2 linked regions of the Cricetulus griseus genome follow. Each later gene encodes a partner of the first gene's protein in a complex. Links are inferred from orthologs where the notes say so. Each region holds a gene or a part of one and is shown on either strand. Other genes may lie near its edges.

What was found.
Region 2: Kat7 (region 1) and Jade2 share a complex: the UniProt entries of both Homo sapiens proteins name them as parts of the HBO1 complex. The link is inferred for Cricetulus griseus from reciprocal best matches to the Homo sapiens genes KAT7 and JADE2.

Annotation. Positions count from the first base shown.
Region 1 is NC_048600.1:108,461,508-108,465,157, forward strand, and holds part of Kat7 (histone acetyltransferase KAT7), read right to left. Parts: intron 2,365-3,650; coding exon 2,173-2,364; intron 1-2,172. UniProt on the Homo sapiens protein: Catalytic subunit of histone acetyltransferase HBO1 complexes, which specifically mediate acetylation of histone H3 at 'Lys-14' (H3K14ac), thereby regulating various processes, such as gene transcription, protein ubiquitination, immune regulation, stem cell pluripotent and self-renewal maintenance and embryonic development.
Region 2 is NC_048600.1:66,088,663-66,092,312, reverse strand, and holds part of Jade2 (E3 ubiquitin-protein ligase Jade-2), read left to right. Parts: intron 1-2,120; coding exon 2,121-2,238; intron 2,239-3,650. UniProt on the Homo sapiens protein: Scaffold subunit of some HBO1 complexes, which have a histone H4 acetyltransferase activity. Acts as an E3 ubiquitin-protein ligase mediating the ubiquitination and subsequent proteasomal degradation of target protein histone demethylase KDM1A.

The sequences.
Region 1 (3,650 bases):
TCAAGTTTTCTGGATTATTTTTGGCATTATCTCAGCCCAAGATATTAAATCACCTACAACATAAAAGACAGATAAATAAAAATATCCTTGCTTACAATAAAATGTCCCATGCCAACAGGAAATTCTTAAGCAGCTTATTCTGGCAGCTTAGTGTTGCTAAGTATGTTATGCTCACCTATACCAGTCACTTCCCATTACCATCCTACCAGATTGCAAAAGAGATCTACAATGATGAAGACCATGAGCCACTCACTATCTGCCCACCTCCTGCCATATGTTACAAAGAGAAAGCGCTTCCATGGCTCATTTTAAGAGGTAGGAGGCCTGGCTAAGTAGCAGGAAGCTACTTAGCTCCAAAGTAACCCCCTTTTCTTACTCTCAAAATGTTTGATCAATGGTGCTGGGGCTAGTACCCAGCATCTTAGGCAGCAAGCCAAGTTCTCATACACTGCCAGTGAAAGGTTTCAAGCAGGTACAGGTGTTTGCTGCCAAGCCTGATGACTCAAAATCAATTCTGAGAACTAACACAGCAAGAGAACTGACTCCCACAGTCGTTCTCTTATTTTCATATGTATGCCATGGTGTGTATGCACATGTGCACACACAAGTTCACACATACAGAAAAATTCTAATTAAACAATTTACTACATACTACATCTTTTTGACAAGTCAAGAATAAAGTTGCACTGGATAGAGTGGTTGGTTGGTCCACACTGGTAGTGTCAGTACTCAAGAGACAGAGATAGGAAAACAGATACAAGTTTGAGACTAGCCTGAGCTAAAGACCCTACCTGAAACAAACAAAAATCATATACACACCCTCCAAGAATTATGTTCCAGGTTTGGGAATGTAGCTCGGTGGTACAGTATATGGTACATTACTTACCCACTAAGTATGAGGCTGTGTTCCCTCCCTAGCACAGAGATGCTTGAATGTGTGCATGAGTGTGTTTAAGGCATTGTTATCATGTTCTAATTTTTGCAGGTAACTCAAAAAATTTATTAACTGGAATTCTTTCAAAGATCCATCTATGCTCCTATCTCTTCCCCTTAGTTGTTGAGGAACAGAATATCTGTTTAACTACGTAAAGATGTGTTGCATTTGTTTTACCTTGCCTGCCTAAGGCATGTGATTGGCCTAATGAAAAGCTAAAGGACCAACAGCTAGGCAGTACAGGGATAGGCAGGGCTGGTGGGCAGAGAGAATAAGTAGGAGGAGGAATCTAGGCCGAAGAGAGAACAAGGGAGAAAGAGAGGGAGACACCAGGGCCTGGCCGGCCAGCCACCAGTCAACCAGAAACGAAGAAAACAGGAAAAGTAGGACATACAGAATGAAAGCTAAAAAGCCCTGAGGCAAAAGCGGAGATGAAGAGAAACAGGTTAAAATAAGTTATAAGACTGGTGGGACAAGCCTAAACTAAGGCCGAGCATTCATAACTAATAAGTCTCTGTGTCATGATTTGGGGACTGGCAGTCCAAAAAACCCTGCTACACTTATTCCTGCTAGTTCTTTCCATGATAGCCAAACCAACACAACAGCTAGTTGTTTAAAACATTAGCCAAGCCAAAGAGGTCATTTCAGTGATTACAAGTGATTATACCTGACACAATGGAAATGAGAACAAGTTTGCTTTTCTGGTCTTGCTTTTATACTCCTAATTTACTAGACCAAGGTATGTACATCCTATTTTAATACAAAGAACATTCAGAGATACAAACTATCAATTAATTCTGTTATTTTCATCATCCATTAAAAGTGGATCTCCCTTATACATGCATTCATTCAACACACATTTCATAGATACCCACCACCAAAAATATAAGCCACACTCTTCTGTCTTATCTAATGAAACATACATATCTTCTTGGAATTTGGGACAAACAAACTATAGGGAGAGGTAATTCATATTCTGAGGAAGAAACAAAAGACAGGAAAAAGAAAAAAAAATATGTATGTGAACAGGATGTAGTTAAGGTGCCAAGCAGCACTGGTCCTGGTGGAGGGAAACCTGAATTGTAACTTTCAATTCCTTCAGTCTCCACTCCATTGCTATGGGCACTTGGGACCTGTTATTTCTTGTACGCTTATGTCATCTCTAGGACATAATTGGGAAATCAAGTAACATCACCCTCATGGCCATGGTCACAGTAGTGGAACTCAAGAGAACATACCATGTGTCGGCGGAGTATTGTTTGGCTCTTCATGTATTTTAAACAGAATTCACACATGTAGAGACGTCCCAGTCGTGCATATTCTTCAGGATAGGGAGAATGGTACCAAGTATCCAGCTCATAGCGGCCAAAAGCAATTGTTTTAATCATGTTGCTTCCCTCTGTTATTTGGCCTTGAAGCCTTAACTTCTCCTATTGCCAAGAAGAAACCAAAACAACAAATAAGGACTAGGATTCCTTACCTTTGATTTCTTATCTATATAATGTATATGGATGTTTTGTTTGCATACACATATGTGCACCATATACATGCCTAGTGCCTGCAGATGCCTGAAATTGGGAGTTACAGGTGACAGTCAGCCACCAGGTAGATGCTGGGAACCGAATGTGGTTCTCTGCAAAAACATCAAGTGTTCTTAACCACTGAGGGATCTCTAGCCCCTATTATCCTTGTTCTTAAAACCTCTGGAAGGCCAGCAGCTAAGCTATGAAAATAACCAGCTAGATTTGGCTTCTATCCATGAGATGGCCACTAATGAGAGTTACCTGAGCATGGGAAATCAGGTGGCTCACACAGAAAACTTGCCAGCTATACTACCCAGGAATTTCTAAGAAAAAAAAAAAAAGTCTCTAGTATTTTAGCTCAGCCTCAAATGTACTCCATAATGAGGATGGCCTTGAACTCCTGATTCTTCTGCCTTCGTTTCTAAATGCTGCAAGTACAGGTGTGAACCATCACATTGAGTTATGTGGGGCTGGAGATGGAACCCAGGATTTCTTGGATCCCAGGTAAGCACCTACCAAAAGAGCTACAATCTTAGCCCATTCCTGATTCTGTTTGTTTTTAATTTTTAATTACATGTGTGTATATAAATGCAAGTAGATGACAGAGGAAAGCTTGTAGGGAGTCGATTCTCTCCTTTCACAAGGATCTTGAGGATCAATTCAGGCTTGAACTAAGGTTAGGCCTCTTTGTCAGCAGGTGCCCTCTGGTCTTCCTTCCTCCACCTCACAAGGGCTGATTACAAGTGCACACTAGGCAATTACTTGTTGTAGGAATAATTGAGAGAACTGGGAAAGGCTGGCCTTAGGCATTATCTTCATGATGGAAAAGAAATGCAGAAGGTGGCAAACAATAAATATTTCAGCCTAGAGCAGCCACCAAGCCCTGCCTCCTGCAACTGACATAATAAAAGGAAGGAATGGAGATGAAATTAACACTACAATCTATATTTTCCTGGGCACATTTAAATTGTTTTATCACAGGTAAAATCACAGTTCATAAAACTGCTAAAAATTCTGTCTAGGTAATGTACATGGTTGGACATGCCTGCAATCTTAGCAGTACAGACAATGGCCAGAATTAGTGAATTCTAGGCCAACCACACGTATACAACAAGACCATATATAAAAAAAAAAAAAAAAAAAAAAAAAAAAAAAAAAAAAAAAAAGCATCTCTGCAAGGATATGGAGTATAC
Region 2 (3,650 bases), about 42 Mb from region 1:
GGTTCCCAGCAGGAAATCTAGAGGAATTCAACCAATATAGAGGCCCTGGAAGGTGTAAGGCCGCCAGGAAGTGGTCTGATTTGCATTTCAAGAACATTGCTGAGGGATGGTTTTACTGTCCCTATGAAAGGCTGGGGGATGGGCAGAACCAGGCTGTGAAGAGAGATGGTGTCAGTCACAAGGAAAGAGGAATGTAAATGTACCCATGGGTCAATTGTGGGTGGAGGCCAGAGAGCAAGTCGTGGGGATGACTCCAGTTTTCAGCCACCCCATCCCCTGCTGGCTGGCTTTGTCTCCCCTTGCTCCATTAGACTGTCCCCACAAGGCCTAGCTAGGCCTCCTGCTGGTCTTAGTTGTCCCTTTATCCAGGAGGCCTTGCACCCTTCTAGTCTTGGGTCAGGGCCACCTGGTCCTGGGAGTACCTCATCAGAATCTCTGCCTTGCTGGGTGGCAGGCTGTGTAAAGAAAGATCCCCTGACGGTGTTGCTTTCGGTAAATTCCTCCCAGACAGTAGATAGTCTCTGAGCCAGGCTGGCGTGCAGGGTGGTGCATCCACCCTGTTGATGCTTATAGGCTGAACTGGGTCTTCTAGAATCTTCTTCACAACGAGTCTCAGAAAGGAAAGAAGGAAGGCCATACCTGACAGAAATCTGGTCATACTCCCTTGAGCTAAGAAGAGGGGTCATGCCAAGAAGTGGGGGTTCTGAATTAAAGGCCACCCCAGGCAGCTTAAGGACAGAGAGACTTAACTAAGGAAGACCTTGGTGGGAATTGGATTCAAGCTGAACAGCTATGGTCAGAAACATCTATCACTGTTTCTGGAAAGTTCCATATGAACCTAAAGGAAATGCCAGACCAAGGGAGTGTCTCCGGCAGTGCCCTGGTCAGCCCAGGGGTCCATGGTTGGTAGTCTGCACGCAGGTGCAAAGGACCCCTTTAAAAGACAGACTGCCGCCCACTCCTGCTCTCTTTCCCACTGTTCCCCTGGAGCAGACAGGACTTTTCCTGTCTCCCTCTTCTCTCTCTGCCTGTGTCTCTTTACCTCTTTTCTCCCTTCCCCCTTCCCTTTCCAATAAAACTTCTCACTAAGCTCTGTCTTGTTATGATAATGCTCATGGGGAACCTTGTGCGGAGGACCTTGGCAGATTCCATGGCAGTGGAAGTTGACTTGGGTAGAGGGACAAACATGCCAGGCAAACAGAGCTTAGTGAGAAATTTTATTAGAAAGGGCAAGGGGTTGGGGAGGGAGAACAGAGAGAGGTAAAGAGACAGAGAGAGGACAGAGAAGAGGGAGACAGGAAAAGTCCTGTCTGCCTCAGGGGAACAGCAGGAGAGTGGAAAAAGAGAGCATAAGTGGGCGGGGTTATGTCTTTCAAAGGGGTCCTTTGCACCTGCATGCAGACTATGGAACCCTGGACTGACCAGGGTACTGCCTGAGTGCATTCTGCCAGGTGTCAGGGGACAGGCCTGTATAATGCCTGAGCCCTTACACCTGTTTCTGGAGAGCTCCATATGAGCCCAAAGGAAATGCCACACCAAGGGAGTGTCTCAAGGGCTGAAGCCTGGCCTTGGCCCCAGAAGTGTATGAGAGAACGGTACCGGGCACTGACAGGTAGGTCCGCCTCAGATGCTTCCAGATAGCCTGAAGAATGTGTGCCTGTCCTATAGACTAGGCCAGATGGCTTCAGAGACTGCTACCTTTGTAAAGTAAGGCATTGTGTCACTGTGGGTGCAGGAGCATTGCAGGAGTGGCAGGGACCTGGCCCAGGTCCTGATGTGGCAGGTAGTCTTGGGAAAGCTATTCTGCCTGTGCTCATTTGAAAGTCTAGTGCTGCTGGTGCCTTGGGGCTGGGCGTTAATGGTGCTTATATCTGAAGAGTTGCTTTGCTGGGAAAGGCAGCTGTTGGACAAGCTGAGAGGGTTGCCAAGGTGAGAGAGACCACACTGCCCGTACACTCAGGGTTTGGGAGTGAAGTCTCAAATGTCTTGGGCAGAGGGGAAGTGGCGTCGGCGGCCCGTGTTCAAAGCACTGCTTTCTCCAGCAACAAGGCCCCTACGGATGGCCGATGTGAGATGGGTGTCAGTGAGTAAGGTGAGAAATCTCTCTTGTGTCTCCTCAGGTTAGGAACCTGTGCTACATGGTGACAAGGCGCGAGAGGACGAAGCACACCATCTGCAAACTCCAGGAGCAGATTTTCCACCTGCAGATGAAGCTTATGGAGCAAGATCTGTGTCGAGGTAGGCACGGTACATTCCCTGCTGGGAAGGTGTGTCTGTGGGGCCTGGAAGGGCCTGGGTCCCTTCTCACCACCATTGCACTCATCAGGTCCATGTGGGAACCTGTCAATGCCCTGGAGCCAGAGTTTGGACTGTGGCTTTCGAGCCTGCCCTCGGTGGCACCACTGGTTCCCTGGGATCGCCCAGTGGCTTAGCTTGCACGAGGACAGGTGCAGATGATACAGTTTTCCTGGCTCTGCTGGGTGGGCTCAACACAGGCAGAAGCTGGCTGTCTTCCCTGAACCCTGGTGTGCCTGGGGCTCAATCCTCAGAAAGGCAACTGCACAGAGATGAGGCTGTGTGTTTCCCTCTCTCTGGTCTCACGTGACAAAATTAAGCTGTGTTTTCTTTGTCCTCTTTCAGTCTCTGGCTATAACATGCATTTAGCACATCTAGAAATCAGGGGCAAAGGTCTTGACATTGATTGCATTGGATAGTTACGAAGGAGGACACGCTTGGCACCCCACATACAGATGCCATCACGCTCAGATGTTCAACATATGCAGCAGAAATGGATAGGTAGATAGAGCTTTGGAGATGTGGGCTGCCACTGCCCACTCAGCCTGTGGGTCATTCTGGGACTTGGGTGGAGGAGGAGGAGAGCTGTTGGGGGCACCATTAGAGGGAATGACTGCCGCCTTCTCTGCCAGTAGCTGAATTGCTCCTTTTACCCTTTGGGATTACCAGATGTGGTGGAGCATACCTGTGAACCCAGTGTGCAAGAGGTTGAGTTCAGGGTCAGCCGGTGCTACATCATGAGCTCCTTTCTTTTAAAAGAAATTTAAGCCAGGCATTGGTGGTGCTCATTTTCATCCCAGCACTCGGGAGGCAGAGGCAGGTGGATCTCTGTGAGTTCAAGACGAGCCTGGTCTACAAGAGCTAGTTCCAGGACAGCCTCCAAAGCCACAGAGAAACCCTGTCTCGAAAAACCAATAATAATTATAATAATAATAATAATAATAAAAGAAAGAAATTTTTAAAAAGGGGAAGAGAAGTTGGAGAGATGGCTCAGGAAGGGGTTAAGAGCACTGGCTGTTCTTTGAGAGGATCTGGATTCAATTGGTGGCACCCACATGGTGGCTCTCAACTGTCTGTACCTCCAGTTCCAAGGAATCTAGTGCCCTCTTCTGGCCCCTTAGGGGCTGGGACTATCGCTTATTTGATAGGGTGCTTGCCTAACATGCATGAATCCCTGGGTTTGATCCTCAGCACTACATAGAACCAGATGTTCTGGTGTACATCTGTAATCCTAGCACTTGGGAGGTAGAGGCAGAAGGATCGGGAGTTTTGGGTCATCCACAGCCACATAGCAGGTTCAAGACCATCCCTGACTAGGTAACAACTATTTTCTTTTGTTGTTTTTGGTTTTTCAA